Caenorhabditis elegans: one gene and its partners. The protein of the gene in region 1 purifies or fractionates together with the protein of each later gene. This does not show direct contact. Each region holds a gene or a part of one and is shown in the gene's direction. Other genes may lie near its edges.

What was found.
Region 2: the proteins of brc-2 (region 1) and ZC581.2 fractionate together in Caenorhabditis elegans (co-fractionation; one large-scale study listed by BioGRID). This does not show direct contact.
Region 3: the proteins of brc-2 (region 1) and kgb-1 fractionate together in Caenorhabditis elegans (co-fractionation; one large-scale study listed by BioGRID). This does not show direct contact.
Region 4: the proteins of brc-2 (region 1) and F45E1.5 fractionate together in Caenorhabditis elegans (co-fractionation; one large-scale study listed by BioGRID). This does not show direct contact.

The regions. Positions count from the first base shown.
Region 1 is NC_003281.10:6,899,941-6,904,810, reverse strand, and holds brc-2 (DNA repair protein brc-2), read left to right. Parts: upstream 1-1,704; 5' UTR 1,705-1,733; coding exon 1,734-1,756; intron 1,757-1,831; coding exon 1,832-1,982; intron 1,983-2,077; coding exon 2,078-2,181; intron 2,182-2,225; coding exon 2,226-2,365; intron 2,366-2,448; coding exon 2,449-2,622; intron 2,623-2,673; coding exon 2,674-2,796; intron 2,797-2,839; coding exon 2,840-2,924; intron 2,925-2,970; coding exon 2,971-3,067; intron 3,068-3,306; coding exon 3,307-3,434; intron 3,435-3,499; coding exon 3,500-3,617; intron 3,618-3,990; coding exon 3,991-4,032; 3' UTR 4,033-4,243; downstream 4,244-4,870. Other genes in the region: T07E3.3 (DSBA-like thioredoxin domain-containing protein), read right to left, coding at 1-264, 309-433, 489-630, 848-916; T07E3.4 (F-box domain-containing protein), read right to left, coding at 4,407-4,633. UniProt on the Caenorhabditis elegans protein: Required for the homologous recombination repair of DNA double strand breaks, thereby playing a role in chromosome integrity. Acts by targeting rad-51 to sites of DNA damage and stabilizing rad-51-DNA filaments by blocking ATP hydrolysis catalyzed by rad-51.
Region 2 is NC_003279.8:6,653,747-6,658,992, forward strand, and holds ZC581.2 (non-specific serine/threonine protein kinase), read left to right. Parts: upstream 1-1,861; 5' UTR 1,862-1,968; coding exon 1,969-2,000; intron 2,001-2,050; coding exon 2,051-2,171; intron 2,172-2,384; coding exon 2,385-2,598; intron 2,599-2,812; coding exon 2,813-2,997; intron 2,998-3,282; coding exon 3,283-3,380; intron 3,381-3,422; coding exon 3,423-3,585; intron 3,586-3,628; coding exon 3,629-3,751; intron 3,752-4,172; coding exon 4,173-4,242; intron 4,243-4,500; coding exon 4,501-4,523; 3' UTR 4,524-4,625; downstream 4,626-5,246. Other genes in the region: ZC581.3 (CPG4 domain-containing protein), read left to right, coding at 65-558, 1,030-1,240, 1,286-1,557.
Region 3 is NC_003282.8:404,954-411,711, reverse strand, and holds kgb-1 (GLH-binding kinase 1), read left to right. Parts: upstream 1-1,678; 5' UTR 1,679-1,755; intron 1,756-1,839; exon of another isoform or gene 1,840-1,950; intron 1,951-2,815; 5' UTR 2,816-2,825; coding exon 2,826-2,891; intron 2,892-2,934; coding exon 2,935-3,026; intron 3,027-3,676; coding exon 3,677-3,806; intron 3,807-3,849; coding exon 3,850-3,965; intron 3,966-4,673; coding exon 4,674-4,758; intron 4,759-4,807; coding exon 4,808-4,979; intron 4,980-5,148; coding exon 5,149-5,409; intron 5,410-5,455; coding exon 5,456-5,562; intron 5,563-5,620; coding exon 5,621-5,764; 3' UTR 5,765-6,091; downstream 6,092-6,758. UniProt on the Caenorhabditis elegans protein: Mitogen-activated protein kinase which is an essential component of the JNK pathway composed of mlk-1, mek-1 and kgb-1.
Region 4 is NC_003284.9:7,975,035-7,981,428, forward strand, and holds F45E1.5 (Rhodanese domain-containing protein), read left to right. Parts: upstream 1-1,665; coding exon 1,666-1,920; intron 1,921-3,143; coding exon 3,144-3,494; intron 3,495-3,539; coding exon 3,540-3,752; intron 3,753-3,799; coding exon 3,800-3,844; intron 3,845-3,893; coding exon 3,894-4,157; intron 4,158-4,600; coding exon 4,601-4,648; intron 4,649-4,693; coding exon 4,694-4,770; intron 4,771-4,821; coding exon 4,822-5,191; 3' UTR 5,192-5,701; downstream 5,702-6,394.

The DNA.
Region 1 (4,870 bases):
TTCTTTGCAATTTTTGTGTAGTATCGATCGATTTTCTGGAGATGAGAGACGAGCCACAATGTCTTCTGCGATTTTGAATGAGATTCCAAGTTCACGGCATACTGTAGACATGTGACACCCGTAGTGAACTGGAAGTCGCTGCTCCCAGAGCCGTTTTCCCAAGTGATGAATTGCTTTTTCATAGAGGTCTGGGTATTGTTCACGGATTGAAGTGAGGAACAGCTGAGGGATGACCGATCCACGTGCTACCGCTGTTTTGTAGGTCTAAAAATATTTGTTTGAGAATAAATATTCGAAATCAATCTAACGTTTTTCCAATCTACAGGTGGCACGACACGCTCACAACCAATAAGTTTCTTGCCACGCTCGTCGATTTTTTGTAGAATTCCCATTTCTGAGAGTGTTTCTTCGCTTTCTGCTTGCTCTGGAACTTCTGAAATAACTTTCCCGCGATTATTTGGATTTCTATATATTTTCAAACTACTTACCTATTTTCGTTTTCCAAAGTCTCGAATTGTGTACTTGTCGACGTTGGTTCCAGATTTGAGCATTATGAAGAATTCCAATTTTAAAATCACAAACTGGCTCAAAATCTATACGCTCGAATAGAGAATTGTGTGATGTAAGAGCCTGAAAATTATATTTGATTTTCTTTCCATCTTTTTTTATTTTCGGGAATAATAAAACATTCAAAAAGGGCTGAGATCTATCTATTTTTCACATGCGACCCATTTCTATTTCACGTGAAGCACATGATTCTGAAGGGCAATGGAAATGAAAACCCGGAAAAACAAAATCTTTCAGTTTAAATTGTATCAAAACAAGTTTTTCTAGATTACAAATGTACCTGAATAGTGATCCATGAATTGGGACAGACCACATCGAAATAACATTTCACACGTGGCAATGGAGCCATTTTGAAGTTTGGCTGAAATTAAATTTATGTCGAGAAATTAAAAAAAATCAGAGCGTCATCATGAGAAAATAGGAAAGGTTTAGACTGTAAAATCAGGTTTTCATGGCGGGAATGACATTAAAATGGTGATAAGGTGATTATTTTATCAAAAGAATTTTTTGAATGATTGCACCTAAAATCGAGTGCTTTTTCTTTAATTTGATTATCAAAAGAAAATACCCAAGAAATGGAAAATGAAAATTTAAGAGATGAAAGGAAAAAGCGACCCGGAAAAACATCAAGCTGGGAAGAAATCTCAACTAGTTAGACCAAAGCTTCGAACTCTGCGAGCATGTATTTTTTTTCCTCACTTTCTCCTTTTCTTCTCTATTTCTCTAGATCTTTATTACTGCGGGGGCAAAAAGAGTAAGAGATAGAAAAGAATGACGCAAAAAATACACGGATTTAATATTTGCTTTGCTTTTTTATTCAGAGAGGAAAGGTCAATTGGGGGTTTCCCCTCGTTTTATGAATGAAAACCGCACATAAATATAATTATTTCCACAGTTTTAAACGGCAGAAACGGTTCGTGTTATAATTTGTGAGATAATTGATTTTGCATTACGAAATTAGAAGAAAAGGCGGAAATAAATAAATTAGTGTCGCAATTTTTTTCTCAAAAAGGAAATAATGCAATTACGCTCCACCGGACAGTAAAATTCTCAGTTTATTTGAAAAACAAAAATTTAATTTTTTCCCTTTTTTTCAATTGAAATCTCAAATTTCTGAACTCAAAATGAAATTTTCAGACTTTACCAGAATATTGTGACATCGACCGATGGGTGACTCATCTAAAAAAGTGTTAGTCAAGATTTATTTTATTGTTATAGCAAGAAAATTGAGAAACATACATGAATTGCAATTCTTTGTTTTCAGAAAAGACAGTTTCGACACAATATCTGAACCAGACAGCTTTGATGAGCCGAAAGGCGTACCGATATCAATGGAACCGGTTTTTTCAACAGCGGCTGGTATCCGAATTGATGTGAAGCAGGAATCGATTGATAAATCAAAGAAGATGTTGAATGTAAGCTTTGGAATTAAAAGGAAATAATGGAACATATTCTGAAATTAACTTCGACAACACATTTATTCTTCTAATATAAAAAATTTCAAATTCAGAGTGATCTCAAGAGCAAATCCTCGTCTAAAGGCGGATTTTCTTCCCCTCTCGTGCGCAAAAACAATGGGTCGAGCGCTTTCGTTTCACCGTTTCGAAGAGAAGGGTAAGTTTCAAAGGTGCTATCTAGCTCGAAGTTTTTCTTTTCAGAACGAGCTCAACAACTACAAAACGGCCGGCTAGCGGCGGTTTCGAAGATTTCGAAGCTCCACCAGCAAAAAAATCAACCAGCAGTTCTTCTAAAAAAAGTAAAAAACATTCGAAAAAAGAAAAGAAGAAGGAGTTTAAAGGTTAGTTAAGCTCTAGAATTGGCTCTCCTTTTTGAAAACTGTTCTTTATTCCGTAATTCTCGTAATCCGGAGTCTTTTTTCAGAAATCCACGCCGATGTTTTGCGTGTTTCTCGAATCTACGAAAAGGATAAATTCCGAATTATTCTTCAAGAATCCAGCTCAACTCCTCTAATCCTGGCCACTTGTAGCTACAATCGTGGCTCTGATATTAAATTTGGCGACAGAATTCATGTCGACGCGGAAGTCTGTAAAAAATGTAATGCTCAATCGATTGTAGCTATTGATTTAATTTTTCGTAAACTTTCAGCAAGCTCAGGCGATGTTACAGAAATCTATATTGATAGAGTTCTGAAAAATAAGGAAAATGGTGCGAAATCCGGTATCCGACGCCATTCAATTGCCAAGAAGCCGTTTTGCATCAAACCCAGATGTGAGCCATTTCGAGTTTTCACCTAAAAAAATTATTATTTCAGTTATCCACGAATTGTCAGACACGAAAATCAAAAAAACAGTTGTCCAAGTTAACTTACTCGATTTAAATTTGGATTTTTATGCAGGGTACATACTGATTCCTTGATAATTAATATAATAATATTGGTTTCAGATGTTCGAAATGCAAACACTCTCTCCCAGAAGCAGCGAATCAATGCGAGTTTTGTAAGGATTCCCAAGGAAAATCTGAATTGTCGATGTATTCTAGAGTATGTTCTTTATATTTATATTGCCTATTTCCTAATATAGAACATTTTTAATGTTTTGGATAAATAGCCTATTTTCAGCTAAAATCTCAAATTTTTCCGACTTGTCAGTGGTGCGGCGGTCGGAACTCACTTCTGCGAGTTGTGACATTGTCAAGTTGACAAAGTTTGAGATTTTAGCTGAATTTAGATAATTTTTTGAATTTTAGTTTTTGGGAAGTATCGTTACAAAAAAACTTCAGGTGCGAGTTATGGACTTCTCCGGTCAAATGTTTATCAATGTGACTACAAAAAATATGAAGAAATTACTCGATTTGTTAGGATATGAAGGATTTGACAATTGGTTCCGATTCAAAGACCCCCAGGAACGGTGAGATTTTTGCGGCGTTTTAACTTTCAATTTATAATTTTTTAAATTCCGTTGCATTTTTTCAGACAAAACTATGTGTTCCGCCCTGTTATGGTTGAAATCGAAAAATCGAATGATGAATGGGAATGCACTGACGTGGCAGAAGTCGACTGGAAAGATTTTGGCTCTTACTTGAAACATAAAGTATAATTTATTGATACCGAAAAATTACAGAGAACATTTTTTGTTTCACATATCATAATTTTAGAAGTCGGCCAGAATTTCAGACATTTTCTTCATTTTCTTATATCTCAATTGCGTTAAATTTTTTTCTCGAATCTGATAAATCAAAAAAATTCGCCAAAAATCCCTAAATCACCCAAAAATTTCACATTTTTGAAAAGGTTGCAATTTACAAAAAAAAACTTTGACTTGAAATTTGAGAAATCTAAGAATTTTGTAGTGTTTCATTATGATTATCGGTCACGTTAGAGTGATAAGTGTGCTAATTTTACAATTTTAATTAAGTCTCAAAATTATATCAGCTAAAATTTAATAAAATTCCATAATTTTTCAGGAAGACAAGAAGAAACGCCGTTCGAAAAAGAAGCATCCATAATATTCCATTCATGTGAATATTCATTTAATCATGTTTCATTTATTTTATCATTTTTTTGTTGTGTTTATTCGTTTTAACGTAGATGGTTCAAATGCTTTAATTTATTCTCAAAGAATATCCCCGTTCTAATTTTATATGTTCCCCTTCTGTTGTTTCCATGTTAAAGAATTATTATGAAACGATGAAATCTTCATCAGAAATTCGAAAATTTAGAAAAATAGAAACCCGAAACAAGAAAATATACAAGTACAAATACAAGTAGGCACACGTCATTTTGAAGTTGTGGTCTTATAAAGACAATTTCTAAAACCCAAAATGTTTGGGAAATCGAGAGATAAGGGGGGATCAATTGGAAAATAAATTCTATGAATTGATTAAAGTTGGAAGGAAGGTGGAACAGTCAGAAGATTGTTATTATTGCAATTTTGTTCGGAGATTTTCAGTTTTTCAGCCAATTCTTTGTCTTCAAGAGCTGCCAGAGCAATTGTAAATTCGCGTTTTGTATTTTCCTCCTGCACATTATACAATGTCAATGAGCCCGAGCCACGGCGATTTTTGCATCGAAGTCCACGTCGAAGGCATTCGGATTCAAATTGAGATCCTGGAATATATTATAGTTTATTGATTATGTATTAAAGCTGTGATTTTTGCTTCAAAATACGGTAACCGGCCTCGACACGACAATTTTGGTTGAATGCGACAGGTGTGTGCGCCTTTAAAGGAGTACTGTAATTTCAAATCGTTGTGACGATTCCGCAGAAATGAAAGCTTGACGATACAGTAGTCTTTATAGGCGCGCACCTTTTTGAAGATTCCAAAAATTTGCCGTGCCGAGACC
Region 2 (5,246 bases), on another chromosome or scaffold:
GAAAGTTGTTAAAATAGTTTTGTATGCAAAACTAACGGGGAACGTACTGTTATTATTAATTTAGAGTCTACTCAACTCATCAGTCCAAGTACTTCCACCAACTCTCTAACACATCTCAATGACAAAACTGAAGAGGACGTGGATCACAATGCTGAATATCATGATTACACTGATCACCATTATGATGAAGATCATGAATACCATGACTCGGATAATACAACTCATCCAACAATTAGTGTGGTATCTATTGAAACAAGATTATCAGAATCAGATTCGGACGCTGATTCCAAAGAAAAACAATCGGAAGATAATGCACTCGTAGAAGTGACAACTCCAGATCAACTTTTAAACTTGACCCCACCAAATATTGTTAATTCAAATGAATCAGAAGATTTGGAAGAAAGCGGAGAAGAGATTCAAATTGAAACAACAACACTCAAGCGAAAAGTATTTTCGGAAGATAGTATGGAGAATACACCACCAAACTTCTTTTATTCATCAAATCGTTATGACAGTACAACACGGTCAAATTATGTCGCTGATAATTTAGATTTAGAGGTATATTTGGAATGTTACTGTATTATTATTTCTTACATTATTCATGAACTGAAGGACGAGTAACGGTTTTGGGTTTTTTTTCTTAAATAACTAATGATACACCAAAAATCTACTTTCATGATGAGACTTCTTGATTCAAATATGTCTTATTCCAAAAAAAAAGATTTAATAAAACCAAAATTAGAAATTAAAGCTAAACTTTGCCCTTTTCCCAAAAAAAAAATTGGAGAACTTTAAACATTGTTGAGATTATTACACTTTAAACATTGTTGAGAAAAACTTTAAACATTGTTGAGATTTTTTGTGAGTAGTCGCATTCGAGTTCGAAGTTTTAGAGCCATTGTGTGATTATTTCAGCAAAAACTACCGTTACTTCTTCTTCAAATGGTGCTTTTGAATATAACCTATTCTAAACTTGCGAAACTCAATTATTCAATGCCGATATTATGTAAACTTAATTTCAATGTTCAGGATAGCGAAGAACCGCTGGAAATTGATACATCGACGTTGTTTGGTGTTGAGACAACTTCCAATGAAATTATCGAGTTGTCCACATCTACAATATCTTATAAAACGACTGAAACTCCAAAGAAAACAACAAGTGGAAAACCGAAACCATGGCTTCATGGCGGAGTTATTGTAAAACCAATTTTAAATTTTGATCAGTTGGATGTAGATCAAGGTGTGTCTTACATTAAAGTCAGTTACAAATCTCTCATTATTCCAGACGAACAACGAGAACGAGAAAATCGTCGTCAAGAATTCAAAAATTCATCTTCCACACTTTCAACATCTGAGACATCTCCAACAAAAGGCGATGATCTTCTCAGTGGAGACTCGGGTGGCCCATCGACAAATGAAACATTGATTGTAATTGGGCTCATTGCACTTGTCACTTGTCTCATTTTCCTCGTACTTCTCCTTCTTCTCGCATACTTCTGTTCTACACGAACTGATAGTTATAATGTGCACAAAGACGAAGGAAGTCCGCCTGTATGAGAAAATGAGCAGCAGCTTCTCTGAAGATATGTAAAGAAAAAGTCATGAGAAATTATTATCATGATTCTGTTACGTGTATGGTTTTTTGTAGCATTCGAATTTCACTCAATAAATTCTAATAATTTTGTTTGAACAAACTTGATAGTTCTCAAGAACCCTATAGATATTTTACGAGGATGTGTCTGTCTCCCAACTTCTCGTCCGAAAAATATATCCAAAACAACTCGTAGTGAAGTTCGTTCACGTTTATACTTTGCACATTGTACTGTTATTTTTTCTGAAAATTTTTTAGAACGGTCAGGGAAGTTAAAAAAGAAATTTTGACGTGAAAAACTGGAGAAATCCTCTTGTATCCAATTTTAGTTTCCCCAATCAATTTATTTCCTTTTCTCAATATTCGCGTTAAATTAAATGGAAACTTTGGAGCGTTCTGAAGAAACTGTGTAAGTTTGGTTTTTGAAGTTTATCAGAACTCAGGTCTCAATTTTTCCAGGATCTTGATAGATGGATTGGCAATTCCAAAAGTGAAGCCATATGTGCCGATGTTGAAAGATCGAAACGGTTCTGAGTATTTGTCAAATGATCAAATGTTTCGCGGAAAGTTTATGGTGAAGGTAAGGGATTTTCAAAACAATAAGCAATGCTACAAAAATGGCTACTGAAAAAAACCACGTCTGCGCCTTTCCCTTTCCCATGATTTCTTGATGCTAAAAATGAAAACGTTCTCATAAGCGGTTCGAGCTTTCAAAAACTTCTTTGATCAATGTGAAATTTTGCGCAGAATCACTTCCAAATATTTATAATTTTTATTAAATTAAAAAATTTAGGGGCTTATCGGACGTGGAGGTTTCGGCCAAATCTACTACGGCTCAGACGCTACATTCCCGGAAGATGTTGTCATCAAAATTGAGCCAGTGGTCCTGAAAGGAAGGCCAAGACGACGAATGATCTTGGAGCAAAAAGTTCTCTACCGTCTGCAGGGAAGACCTCATGTTCCCATTATGTGCGCTTCGGGACACACGGAGCAATTGAATTTTATTGGTAGGTTTCTTTGAGGCTTTATAGCTTTCAATGTTGCAGAATATAAAGTGTCACTGAAAGTCAGCGACCGGTACATCTTCGCGGGATTTGAAGTTATCAAAAAGTTTTTCTAACATGTTGCAAAACATAACATTTATAATATTTTGCAACGCGCAGTCGACTTTTGCCAGTTCACAGCAAAAGCGGTGCGTACTAAAAACAGTCAAGTTTTTAGTAATGCAACTTCTTGGTCCAAACATTGGTGATCTGAAGAAAAGAAGCCCAGTAAAACGTCTGAGCCAAACCACAGTCGCACGAATCATGATCCAAGGAATCGCTGCACTTCGGGATGTCCATTCTCTTGGTTACATTCACCGAGACGTGAAACCTGCAAATATGTGCTTTGGAGTTACTCAAAGTGTAAGAATATTTGATATTTATGTATGTAATACCCGTTTTCCAAAAATAAATTCTCCATTTATGTACATATTTCTATTTAAACTGCTAATATAATTGAAACGTGACATTATGTTGCATTTTTATGCTTAGTATACCACCACTTCTAAGCATAACGTTGTATAAAAACGGTAGTTTTTAACGGTAGTTTTTTTAATGCCTAGGTAACGGTAGTTTTTTTAATGCCTAAAAGATTGTTTGGGTTACGGCTATTTGAGCAGGTTAGAGCCAGGTTTTGCCAATTTTCAGACTCGTCATGTGCTCAAGCTAGTCGACTATGGGATGGTTCGAAGATTCAAGAACGTGGATGGAACACGTCGTAAACAGAGATACAAACCTGGTTTTAGGTAACTTTAAATTGTTCCCAGAAAGTTCAGAAAATTGTTCAGAGGGACACTGCGCTACTCGTCTGTGCGTGTCCACGATGGAAAAGAACAGACCCCAGTTGATGACTTTGTGTCAATGGCCTACTCTGGGGCTGAGCTTCTCCTTGTCAACCTTCCCTGGAAACTGGTGAGCACTGATGACATCCGACAGACTAAAGTGGACTTTGTACGTGATTTTAAAAAGTTGTACCTTTAAAATGTTTGTTTAGAATACTCCAAACTCTCCATACTTGCTGCTCACCGGACCCTATTTCTCCGTGTTCTGTGGAGCGATTTTCAATTTGCGATCGGAGGATGAGCCCGATCATTCTTCATTGCAAAATTTGCTTTGTGTAAGTTAAATTCTGAACTGATCGTGATTGTTCCTTACCACGTAGAAAACGTAATTTGAATTTTAAAAAAACTAAAATCCCTGCCACCAACAGAGCTATCAAAAAGTTTTCAACCAGTATATAAATTTCACAAAAATCCCTGTTAGCTGAACTCTTTCTAGTATCTCGCACTAGATATTTCGAAGTTGGTACTGTTTTCCTACAATATTTGTCTAAAATATCAATAGAGAGCTCACAACTGCAAAGTATTTAAAATTTTAAGATCTACGTTTTGTTAGTGAAAACTTTGTTGATAGATATAATAGCAACTGAGATATCATAGTTTGACGTTGTGCTCTTTTCTCCAAATTAAATGAAACCTGTGCGGGCGCTGCAAATTTTGGCTGCTTGAAAATTGATTTATAACAATTTAATTTTCCAGGACATGACCAGAGGAAAATCGTTGCGTGAGGCGTATGACTGGGATGAAAACTATCGTGATGCACTTGGAAGTACGAAAGTTTTATTTTTTTCTTTTCCCTATTGTGTAGATAGTTAGAGAGTGTCAGACATCCGGGACCCAACGGGGCGGGGCGCGCGGAAGAGACGATTTGTGTCGATTTACGAAATGATGACAACGAGGAAAATTTCGTAAATCGGCACAAATCGTCTCTTCCGCGCCCCGTCCCATTGGGTCCCGGATGTCTGGCACTCTCTAACTATCTACACTATCTGTACCGGTAATACCGGAGCTTTAAACATATTTTCAGGCTCGAATACTGACAGCTCGTAATTGAACTTTTGTGATTTTGTATGTTCCTTCCTTTGAACTCCATTCTTTCCACTAGACAGTTGTCTCTCCACTTGAGTATTACAAATAAATACAATCAAATGATCTTGTGACTTACCTAGAACTACCGGAAAAGTAGGGAATGCTCTTTAAGCCGTTGGCTAGAAGATTCTTTTAGAACATTCTTGACAATTGCGATAATTGGGACAATGAAGCCATGTAGGCCCTCCTTTCCGCCGCGTCCTGGAATTTTGACTTTGCTTGAGAGAGAAAAGGCCGTGTTGAAACATATTTGGAAAAATTGCTCCGCTCTTTTGCTGCGCACATTATATAGGGTGTCCATCAGGATGTGGACACAAGATGCATCAGCAAAAGCGGGTACTTTTCAGTAAATTGTTTGCCTCTGCGGATCGGTTTTGACTATATTTCGAAAAATGTTATCTAAGCTTACAGTAGTTTTGCGCAGATAGTCAAAAATTGGACTCAAATTGGTAAAAACATTAAAAAAAACAATTATTCAAACTAGCTATCGAACACCTGAAACATTTTCTTCAGAAATTTCAAGATTGTTTTAAAAAGTTTCGCGCGATTCAACAGCCATTTTGATTAATTTTTAAAAGATTTTCTATCAAAATTTATTTCAATATAGAGTTTGAGAGTTTAAAGAAAGTCAAAATAACTTGGAGATGTGTTCGATCCAAAAATTATAGAACAGATTACATAAAG
Region 3 (6,758 bases), on another chromosome or scaffold:
GAGATGATTGTGGTTATTGGGTAAGTGTTCAAAGAATATACATAGAAGTTCCAAATTTAAAGGTGGAGTAGCGTCTGTAAGTTTTTTGCCATAAATGACAGAATAGAGACCCAATATACTAAATATAACTGTTAAAAAATGTAGAAAATGTATGAAATTTTTCTAATTTTTTAATGATTTTTTTCTTAATTTTACAAAAATTTAAAAAAAAGGACTGAATTAAATTTGAACTCCCGCGCAAATGAGTGACGTCATTTTCGAAACTTTTGCGTTTTCAGCCTATATTAATAGGTTTTTCTTCATTTTTCCTTTGTTTTATAATTTGAAATACAGTCTGTCAATTTTTCAGACTAAAAGAAAATGTATGATTAATTTTGAATAATTAAGCCAATTTCAGAGTTTCGGTAAGTTTCTTCGCAATTATCAAGTTTGAAAAATGTTTGAAAAATTGAAAAATTATGTTTCAAATTATAAAACTAATTGTAAGAATAAAGAAAAACCAATTAGTTTGGCCGTAAAACACAAAATGTCGAGAATGACGCCATTAATTTGTGCGAGAATTCAAATTTAAATCGGCCTTTTTGAAAAAATCATAAAAAATTTATTATTATTTTTTGATTTTTTAACAGTTATATTTGGTAAATTGGGACTGTATTCTGTCATTTATGGCAAAAAAACCACTACTTCACCTTATAATTTAAAATTATCCAACTCACTATCTCTGTGTTTCATTTTAGCATCGAGTTATCACTTCCGATGACTAACAAATGGGAAATCTAAGGAATAATGCAGAGATTGAAAAGAATTAGAGAAACAAACAGACAAAATCAAGTATTATTTAACAATTGTAAAGAACAACCAAAAAACCCCACAGGAAAGACCACACAGAATGTGGACCCACGACTTTGGGAGATTAGGCACCTACGAGATTTCATGGCCCAAGTTAATTGGGTAGCGCTTTGAGTTGTCATAAATGTTAATAATTGAGAAAAAGATATTTAAAACTTAAAACGTACATATTAAACTTATTTCTTATAGAATTTACTTTCAAAGCTTTTATTATAGGCGGTCGATTTGTTCTACGGCAACTCTATTCTCCAAAACAGAGTGGTGTCTCTTTTCTGTCTGATTCTCTACTTCTCTACACATTTTCAATCCTAGGTGTGTCTCTCTCTGAAGGATGAAATCTCTATTTCTCTGCATCTCCTATTTGGCTTCAGCCTATCGCTTCTCTTCCGCACACAAACATTCACTCAGTGACGTAACTTTTAATACCTACACTATTTCTCTCTTTCGCATTGTCAACTTATATATATATATATGTATATAGATCATTCCTGTACTATTTAATTTTTAATTATAACTTTTTAAAAAGGTTATTTATGATTTAAAAAAAACAAAATCTAAAGTGTCTTTAAAGTGTAAAAGTAAAAATTGGCAGGCTGGGTATACTGCCTTTTTTCTTCAAGTTTTCGAATCTAAGTAAAAATAAAAAATTTCCCCTGCTTTTTTAATACAATTTTAGTTTGAATTTTACTTGTTGAGAATAATAGACTTCAATTATCTCGATGCAGTATTATGTATTTCACTAATAATTAACAGCAAATACCTCAAAATTACCCCGAACTCGAACTATTGCTAGAATAAACCATTCGAGTAACCCGTGTATTTATTGTAGAGTTCGTGAGAAAAGGATTAAAGGATTAAAGGACGATCCGTTCTTCAAGCGCTATGCACTGCGGATCTGGGAGTCAGGTACACTGCCTGGTGGTGATCCCACTAAAAAAGTAATTAGAGTATTATAGAAAAAATACGATCGCCCAAAAATAAACAACGGCGCAACGACACTCCGCTGTTTCTGAGACCCGCCCACGATTTCATTTGCACTGCGGCCGACACATTTCAGTGCAAATGAAATCTTGGGCGGGGTTTAGAAACGGTGGAGTGTCATTGCGTCGTTGTTTATTTTTGTACGATCGTATTTTTTCTATAATAAAGGTTTAAAAAAAAGAAACACACTATTGGATGTTACATTCCAGTCAACTTGATACCTAAAATATTTAAATTTTCCATTGAAATTAGTGTTGACTTTTGTTTCCTAAATACGAACATCCTTTCAAAACCAAGCGCAAAAAGTGTAAGATCATTCACAACTGAAGTCAAATTTTTGAAGTGTGAACATTTTTTGCGTCATGCAAATATGAAATATGAGTTTATGAGTCGATTAAAAAACATAAAAACCCAAACAAAAACGCTGAAATTTCATTAAATGTTAAAAAATGACTTCTTTATTACAAATCCAAAGTTATGATTAAACATTTAAAGATTAGCTGCAAAGATTATTTATTAAACTACATATCTTTCTATTTTTAGTCTATTTTTTAAACATTGTCAGGTTTAGTTTGCACTTCAAAAAATGAAAACTGTATTTCACTAACAATATGTACATATATCCCCTCCCTCATTTTTTTTCACTCCAGAAATGGAAAGTCAATATTTGGAAAGAAAATAATTTTCCAAACTGTTAGAATCTCCGTTTTTAAGATTTATTGATTTCTACGTGGGTTGAAATGACTCAGTTTTGATGAAACTCAACAATTTTAAGGCATTTTTATCAGTTCCGGTTGGAAAGGAAAATCAGAAACATTTTTGCAAGTGATAAGAATTATGAAATTTTTATAGATTTTTTCAAACGTTTATTTGGAAATTGAAATTATACTTTTAAAAATTTAAGAAAAGCTGAAATTTAATGACTAACGTTTATATTTAATTTTTGAATTTTAAGTATTTCTCCCTGAAACTAATAACTTTTTAGGCACAATAAGATGGAAGTGGATCTGCCGGTACATAACGAGTATGATGCGTCTAGATTTCATCAAGTTACAATTAGGGTTTGTTACTAGATACTTTACCTCCATTCAAATTCATTTTCAGGACCCGATAGCCGGCGCGGACAGCACTTTCACTATTCCAACTCGTTATGTAAACCTTAGTTTTCTGAATGCCGGCGCCCAAGGAACTGTCGTGTGAGTTTTTACTAATTACATTAATATTTTATTGAAGGAAAAATAATAGGGCGAATTTTTTAACGCAGTAAACAAAAAATTTCAATAGACAAACAAATATTAACACTTCAAAGATGTTAATCAAAGATTTGATAGATTGCCAAATTTTCGAATAATTTTTACTTTTTCAAACATTTCACACTTTACTGCAAATTATAGCCCCAATAATGTTCAAATACCAAAAGATAAAATAAATTTTTTGAAAGAACTATGAATTTTAGTCATTTTAGAAACATATGGCTGGTTTCAGAGAATCCTTTCTCTGGTCGTACTCCATCTTTGAATGTCTCACTGCCTTTCAATTGTATATTTTTACACTTTAACTTTTCTTCGGTTTTGCGTAATTTCAAACACTGACACAATGATGACTTCCCGAAAAAAAACGGACCGCCCTATCAAAAAACTTTTAAAACAGGTAGAGGTCTCGAGATCATTGTTATTCGTCATTGCCCGCTGCTCCACCTCTAAGATTGAAAAAGCTTGAAAAAATCAATAATCAAGAAGATCTTCTAGAAGAATGAAAGTGACTGAAATTAAATTATCGCGCAAATGACTTCAAACAGAATTTCTAAGTTAAGTGAACAGCCATAATTTTTATTGATTACATTTAGAATGGCCGATGACCTAGTAACAACGCAACGTGTGGCAATCAAGAAGATGCAACAACCATTTGTGATGACAATGAGCGCAAAGCGAGCATATCGAGAGTTTATACTGCTAACGACTATCAAACACCCAAATGTAAGATTCAGTTGGAATCTAGAAAAAATGCTCCAAATTTCAGATAATCCGTCTACTAAACGCGTTTACACCGGACACTTCACTTTCAACGTTCCGAGAAGTATATCTAGTTATGGAATTAATGACACACAATTTGCACGAGGTTATACATCGATTAAGGTAAGAGACATGGTGGCTGATTTTTATGATTTTTTTTCAGTAATACCAATTTTTATAGTAATATCTAGTATACTAGACGTAATTTAAACTGTATATGATGGACTTGTTAGAGACTAATAGACGTAAAATATTATTTTTCTGTTATTGATTTTGAGAACAAAAGAATAAAAATAAAACAATAGGAAAAGCACGATATCTTAAAGAAGGAGTGGCGGATTCATTTTTGCTCTAATAAACTCAGAACGACTCCAAAATATCAACCTTTTTTGTCTCAATTTCACGTTTAATAAACATATTCAACAATAATAATAAGTTTATTGCTGACACTTTTCAACAAAAAAAACTTTTAAAAAAAGAAAGAAACAAGGGCAAAAGCTAGACTTTCAATTTTGCCGTCTTTCGCGTTTCCCAAGGTCGGAAATACATTTTTATCCAACCTTGAGTACCCACTTGGAAATGTGCCGAAACCATCATCAAAACACGCACAGTTAGCTACCAGAACACGCGTAAAAAAATAAAAAAAATATTCCAGCGTGTTTTGAAAATTTTTGGTCAAGATTTTAGTTAACTACCAAAAATCAGAATTTTTAAAAAAGTTTAGAACACTTGCACATTTGAGCTCCTATTCATGATTGTTCAATGATTCAATGATTGAATATTGAATATAAACACATAATTAGATTCTAAAAAAATTTTCTGAATTATTAGATTGGACCATAAAACATTATCATTCTTCGTCTACCAGAGTTTGTGCGCAATCAAGCATCTTCACAATTCGGGAGTCATTCATCGTGTACGTATCTACCACTATAGACAACATTCTGAAAAATTCAAAGTTTCAGGACTTAAAACCATCGAATATTGTCGTCAACGATCGATGTGTATTAAAAGTTTTAGACTTTGGATTGGCCCGGAAGAAGAATGTGGACACATCGATGAGAATGTCAGATTATGTGGTGACAAGATACTACAGAGCCCCCGAAGTTATATTAGGTCTTCCCTATTCGGAAAAAGGTTTGTTCGAAAAAAAAAAAAATTTTTGTAATTTTGGGCTGGACTTCCATCTGCGCTCCGGTGAGCCGCCTCAAACAGCCTCACGCCGTACGTATCCGCATGTAAAGTGCGCGTAAAACCCCAAACGTGTCGGCCGCTTCCAAACAACACTCTCAATTCATAATTGCAGTAGATATTTGGTCAGTCGGATGTATATTTGCTGAAATGATCAACCATACCGTACTTTTCCCTGGAAAAGATCGAATTGATCAATGGACTAAAATTTATAGTGTTTTGGGAACACCAGATGATCATTTCATTAGTCAATTGGGTCAGTCAGCTGCTATGTATGTTCGATCGTTGCCACGTCATCAGGCACGAGCATTCAGTGAAATCGTTCCTGATACCAATTTTCTGCCGGAGACTGAAAATCCAAGGGTCCATTTGACACGTGAGTCAGGCTATACAGGATTTTGAAAAATAAATCATATTTTCAGCACACGTGGCTCGTGATCTCCTGTTCAATATGTTGAAAATCAATCCTGAAGAAAGGTATTCAGTTGAAGATGCACTGAATCATCCATATGTTAAGTTGTGGTTTAAGGTACAACAATTTTAGCACTAAACAAAAACAATCAAATCATGCATCTCAAATCTTACAGGACGATGAGGTAAACGCCCCCGCATCAGAAAATCGATACGATCAGGAAATTGATTTTGCCGATAAGACACTTATTGAATGGAAAGAGCTAATTTTCAACGAAGTGCAACGCTATCAAGCCGACCACGACATTTTCACTGGATAATAAATAATAAAAAACCTAAAATTGTTTCTTTTTCTCTCAAAAATAATTGTGTTACTTTTTTCTTCAAAAATCTATCTTTCAGTTGTGTTCTGTCACTTAGTTGGCCATATTTTCTGGTGATTCTCTGCTTATTTTCTATATTGATTATAATCACTAAATGTTAATTATTTTGGAATACAGATTTTTTGGAACTGTTTTGTTTTAAGTATAAGAAATTGAACCTTAGCTCCACAAAATTTGCATCTCATTATAAAGTAGGGATTGTTTTTCGATTGTATTGTCAGGTTTAAATTCAAAATTCTAAATCAATAAATTAATTTTTTAGGGACCAGGTCCCCTATGAGGTCGCCACAGCGGCGCCCGCGCCGGCCTCACAGCGTCAATCACAGTGCATGTATCCGAATATATAGTGCGGCAGGGAACCCGATCGTGAAGTCCGCGCCTCACTTAGCTGGGAGACCTATAGGTTTTTTTTCTTCAAAACGATGCTTTAATTTTTGTTCTCAAAAACAAAATGAAGCCAAAATGGGAATCCAGAACGACCGGACATTAAATCACACAGATGGACAATGGTGGTCTTGAATAAGTACATTTATTTCACAAAAATTGAACATTCAGTAAAAGATGAGGTTTGAAGACTGAAAAGTGGGCTGGACAACAGAAAATCGACTTTTGGGTAGTAAAAGATTTTTGATATAAAGATGGGAAATAAAGTATATGGACATTTGGACAAAAAGAGAAACAGAGACGCCTTGAAATGTTTTCAAATGATTCTTTTAGTATTCTATTCTAGAATTAAGAAAAGCGGATGGAAAATATTTTTTTGGAATCTTGATATTTTGTAAGTTTGAACTTTTGGGTTTTGGAATTCCGAATTTTTGTTATTATCATATTATTTTTTGAAAAACCGGAATTTAGCATCAAGTCTGAGAGATTTTATAAAATAAAACTAACAGGAACAGTTTGAACAACAAACAACTAAACACAAACGGAT
Region 4 (6,394 bases), on another chromosome or scaffold:
GTTCAACCTAGATATAAATCCGAGTTGCATTGAGCAATGTTGCAATGAAGTTTAGCCAAGTCGCCTAAGGGTTATTCCTTTTTTTTTCGTTTTGAATTTCAATTAAAAAGTTCTAGATAAAATATATGTAATGTTAACATACTTTCATTAGTTTTTGTTGAAATTAGACCTCATACACCAAAAAACTTGCTCTAACTATAACTTCAATTTTTTTGTTTTTACACTTCGTTTCACTTTCTCCGTGATGTTTCTCATTCCTCAATTTTGTACCTGTTTCTGTATTAACGTATACATTACAAACGTACCAATTTTTTGTATCAAAATGTGTTTTAATATTGTCTAAAATATAATTTTCGGGATTGTGTGTTTTTCTAATTTCTTGTTGGTTATAGACGGCTTTGCCGCAAACTTGCCACTTGTCTAGACCAATTTCTCTTGAAAATATGATCATATTTGAAAAGAAAGCCCGACTCTGGGTTTTCAAATGTTTTCAGTGCTCTATTGTGCTAATACAGCTAGGTCAGAGACTATAAACTAGTTACAACTTGACAGATGTTTCTATAGACACATGAAAGATAAATATTTCAGTACGTGTTCGGTGAACTGGAAATTCTCATTCACCGTCATCTAATGTTTTGTTCTATTTTCAATTTAGCTTAAGGATGACATGACATTGCTGAGCACATTACACTTTTCCTTGAAAGTTTTGATCTTTTGATTTTTATTCTCAATATGTTAGACTACTTGGTTATTTTTTCCTTTGGCTTACTAGTTTAGCTATAATTGTTAGTTTCATATTTAAACCTCTTGTTACCTTGATTTTAAAATTAGTGAGGAGAATGACCATTAATCTAGTTCAGACAAACGGCAACAAGCATTTTCAACTGATAAAATAGTTTACAAAGTGTTTACTACTTTTATTTATATGATAACGTTTCTATAACTGTTCTTGACAATCGTTTATGACGTCTTGAAACTTTTTCTTTTGGTCGAGTTTAATATTGCAACAGTTTAGCGGTTTTCCTTAAAACTAGCAACAAAACAGTCATAAAAGTGGGATCAAGAGATAACCCATTTATATTTATATTTGAGTAAAGAATACAATTATTTTAAGCTTCTATTTTGCGTATGCATTTTTTAGTGTATAACAATTGATAAACATGTTATTTTGTAATTCCACTTATAGTGTATTGCTTGAAGCAATATGAAGGAGAAATGTTTATAATCAGTCTAATTAGTGACCGAATAACATAACAAAAAATAGACAATTTTTAAAGATTTTTTTATTTGCAGTTGAAAGTGACAATTACTCACCTATCATAATCTTGAAAGTTGACCAAAAAAAGTCTCAAAAAAGTCAGAGTTTTAATTTTAACTATGATCATATTTTTTGATTGAATATTGTAGGACACAGACGTGTTCAAAATTATTCAAAATGTCCTATCTATGCTAATGTTAAATATTATGTATTTTTGGAATATCATTTTAAAAACATGTCCCGCATCATTTCTTTAAATTTTTCCAGATTTTTGTTCCACTCAAAAAAATGGGCGGAGCTGTACTACGTGATGTTATTTTTCACGACAAACTCTTTCCTCAGTGTTTCTCTTTGCAGTCTTTTTCTCAACTATTTTGACAAACAATCTTACAATATCATGTATTCAGATGGGTTCTAAAAGTTCGAAACCAGAGGGACAAGAAAACAAGCCTTGTTTCTTAGATGCTTCTCAAAAACGCAGAGAAGTTATTTCAAATCTTCCTGATGAATCGGAACATGACACCGACTCGTTGAAGGCTCAATCAGAAGGCCGAGGACTGAAGCACGTCCAATTTGTTGATAAGCTGAAATTCGATTGGGATGATCGTCCTTCACAAACAAATCCAGCACCACCCAAAACATTGGAAGATTATGAAATCGAAGTAAGTGCAATTATTTTGCAGCTTAACTAATGTTCAATATGTTTTTCTAATACCGTATTTCTTCTATAGTATGGCCTTCCTTTTAGACTTGCACTTCTTTTTAGTATTACACTTTGAAAACCCTCCAAAAATTAATATTGAACTACCTATTAGTGTTGCACTCCCTAATAGTCTCGCATCTACTTTTATTTCTGGTACAAATCCTCCTTTCTAATTTTAAGATTTTAACAACATTTTTGCCTATTTTGCAAAAATTTTTGACAAAATTTCTATAAGATTGAAGTTATTAAGCCTTTCTGTTTCAATTACAATTGAATGTTCTAAATTATCAAAAAAAAATTGGAGTTTTTCCAAATAAAAAACTAATAAAAATGTTCTGAAAAACAGTATTGCTCTTCCTATTATACTCCCTAACAGTATTGCAAGCGGGAATACCTTCGAAAAATAGTATTGCTAAAGCCATACTAATAGAAGAAATACGGTAGTTCAAAACATTTTTTTCAAATCTAGTCCAGGCTGTAAACTTTCTAAACTTTTTTAGTCGGCTTTTAAAACAACACCTGGACAAGTGTAGTCGTGAGTAAAACATAGAAAAAGTAAAGAACACTGGTGTGCAAACAGCAGACGTCTAGACTTAAAGTGTCGTTTTATGGGAACACGAGATCTTAATACTTACTAGAAATATGAGTCTGGCAAGTTGGTCTTTGGATTATAGGTTTCTTAGAAAACGAGTGAAAAGAATATCGCATGTAGTAATCTTTGCAAGTAGTAATTTCAACCAGCTAGTGGGTTCATGCAAGAGTTATTACATTGAGTTAGTAATTGTGTACATCAATGCATTACTAGTGAAGAAAAAGTTGGGAAACGTGCAAATTGATTTCAGGTGGATATTGAATGTGGTGTAGCTTACTTTGAGAATGCGCTATTCACTATTCTGTGATAAAACAATATGAATAAGTGTAAAATCAAAATAAAATTCTGTCTGTTTTAAATGCAATAGTTAGCCTCTTCATTTAATTTAAAGAACAATTAAAAAATTTCACAGATCGCATGAATTAATCCATCATTTGTATTTTCTCTAGTTTCGCACAGAAAATGTATACTTACCTGAATGCCGACTTAACCATACTTTGTCGTTAGAAATATTATAGACCCAAACTAACACAAAGATAGTACTTTTCTCATCTGCGCAGAAGTTTTATTGCAAATTAGTTAAATTACAGAGCATGCTTGGGGATGACAAGGACAATAAGACAGCTGATAAAAATGTAGTCTGGAAGCGTAAGGGACCTAAACACGGTTGTGTTCAGTTTTTTCGCAAAGAAAAGAAAGAAACCAACCTTGAACCAGAACCTCCTAAACATCCAGGCGCTGACAAGGCTGAGAGATGGCAAAAACAAACATGGAAAGTTTTCTCCGGTCCACTACCACCTTTGGTTAGTACATCGGGAATTGATGATGAAGAAACTGTTATCCTGAGCAAAGTTATTCACGAAGCAACTCAAGAAGCATGTATAGTGAAGACGTCGGATAACCCGGCATCAAGTGAGGAATTCAAAGTGACACCAGTTCATGTAACTAGCTCTTTGCAAATGACCTACATTTCAATTAAATTTCAGCCTACTAAAAAACCGTTTATAATGATCCATCAAACAAATGAGCAAGAAATCATGAAAACACAAGGAAGCTTTCGTTTGAACCAATGGCTCAATGTCAAAACAGATATTAATAGCGTATCATTGGAGAATTCGGATGATTCAATTTTTATGCAGATGTTCAATATCATTTCGCATGAACGAAATCGTCGATGGTATGCCTATCGAAGAGAACATGTAAGCAATTAGTGAATTTAAATAAGTTTTGAATTTTTTTTTTCTAGGAATCCCTGACACTGGAAGAAGCTTATTTGATTGGAAACGGAGGAGTAAGTTTTATTTTTAAACAGTTTAATTAACTTATTTCATGAAATTCAGTATCTTCCCGGAGAGACGAAACGTTTTGGTATAGCGGAGGTCGCAAGAAAAAAAATCAGTAACACTCTAAGAATCAACATGATTCCAGTTGTTCACAGTCATCAACCCGTTATCGGTGTCCCATTCAAAGGATACTTGCGCGATATTGTTGAACTACCAGAATGTTCAATGGAATTCATTCAAATCATCAATCAGCACCTCATGCCTCACGGTCTTCAAGTTATTGATTTGAGACGCAGATCAGAGGAAGTGCTCGGACAACCGGTAAATTGGACAAACATTTAATACAACTGCATTTGTCGACAGTTCGCCTCAACTTCTAAACTAATTTTAGATTTTTCCAATAGGAATTTCAAGTTTCTAATGTTGGTTGAGAAATTGTGCCGCATTGTTTCAAATCGATGGGTTACAAATGCATTTGATTAAATTTGCTAATAAGACTGTGGCCTCTGATTTATTGTGACGATCATGGTGAAATACAGTATAGTAATAATGTTATTAATGTACATAGCATATTTAAGCAAATTTCTGACCGCGGAACCTTTTTCGATAATGTTCTCAGAATTGTTATTGGGTTCACTGAATAATTCGTAAAGTTGTAAGAACACAAGACTAAAAGACATTACTTTTCCGGCCAATAATTTATTTTTATTAACCAGTTGCAAAATCAATTCGCGTAATCCAAATATACATAATTTTTATTTCAGCCATTATACCATGATGATTACGAGATGGCCAATCACACCATTGACGCAGTGAGTTCAACATTTTTAACAAACACAATATTTTTTTTTTCACAGATATCACGTTCAGTTGAAGCTCTCAATTCCATCAAAAACACAGCAAAATATTTCATCGTTTATGCTATTTATGCAGAGTGAGCCCTTCTAAAAAAAGATCGTATGCTTATAGAAGTTTCTAATTTTAGCACAGTACCAATGTACATTTACCAAGCAATTGTCCGATTCAAGCCTGGGCTTCCAATCAATTCAGCTGACTGGATTGACGATGGAAAATCGCGATTAGAAATTGAAGAACCAGACATGGAGCCTGTTAACACTCTTGACAGTGTTTGCTGGTTAATGCAAATCAGAGAGTATCGGTACAAGGTTGCCGCAGAAAAATCAAAATATGAGAAAGAATTGAAGCAGAAGCAACGTGAAGAACAAAAAGAGCAGAAAGAACTGAAACGGCAACAATGTGAAGAGTTGAAGAGACAAAATGTAAAGAAACAGCAAGTAGCTAGCATGTCAACTTGGAAAAAAGTGAAGACTTTCTTCAGAATTAAATCGAACTAGGAATAATTCGAAATAATTGTTGTGTTATTTGTAAAATATCGTTGTTAACATTCCTATCTCATTTTCTACAAACCTCTTTATTTTCCCATCTCTTTGTTTTTCTGTGTTGTTACTTCTGAGAATCAGTATATTTACCGAGCAATGCAATGAATTGACACACAGAAATGCTTCCAACAAAAGTTCAAATTGCATACTGTGATTTTAGTAACTCTTTTTCACGTTTTACTACATTAGTGAACCTCTTATTTTTCTTTTGCAGTAAAAAGTTGATGTTCCTGACAACTGAGTTAAATCTTGGTTGTTTTACATTTTGAATTGCATAATTCGCCGATTATTTATTCATATTTCTACATACATTTTCGGAACGTTTGTCCTTTTATTTATACTTCTGTCTGCAATAACTGAACCTTCAAATTCATCTGATTGTAATTTAAATTTGTTCCCGTTCACAATCGTATCAATGATTCCTCAAATGTTAACAGTTCCGCGCGTACGATCTTTAAAACAGTTTTTCGAAAACTGATTTGATTTTCTCAAGTGTTAAAGTCCTACTATCCAAGAGACAGTAAACTTCTTGATGTTGCCCGCTATAAAATTAGATGTTAAAATGGCGTAGTTCAAAATGTTTTAGTACTAGCACTCCCTTTTCAGTTTCGTTAGTTTCGAAGGATTTTTCTGAAAATTTATTCAAAGAACACAACAACTGAACAAAAAACAAACGTGTTTAATTACCGAAAAACCTATTGCGGAATGAATAAAAAGCTAAAATTCCGAAAAAAAAACATTTGACAAAATTTCAAAACATCCCGTTGCGAAGCTTTAACTTTTTGGGGCATTTTTTTGCTTAAAAGAGTAAACTACCAGATTTTGCTATTCCACCAAAAACATGGCATGTTTTCAAGATAAAAGTAACCTGGTCCAGTTCTAAAAATTCAGAATCAACTTTCAAAAAACGTTCAAAAATATCTATTTGAAGGAATTATGTCTGAGTCGGAATTTGTTGGCGCGCTTTATAGTTGTTAGCCTCTTTCGGTATCTTCAAAGATTTCAATTCCTGATTTTCATCAAGATTTCAATTATTTCTATTTATTCTCAACGATTTGATAAATAAATATGTTTAATCCCAACTCATGCACGCTGTTCAAAAACAAGGAAACACAAAATATTTACGTTTATTACTTTTTTGTAAAAAAAATAACATAG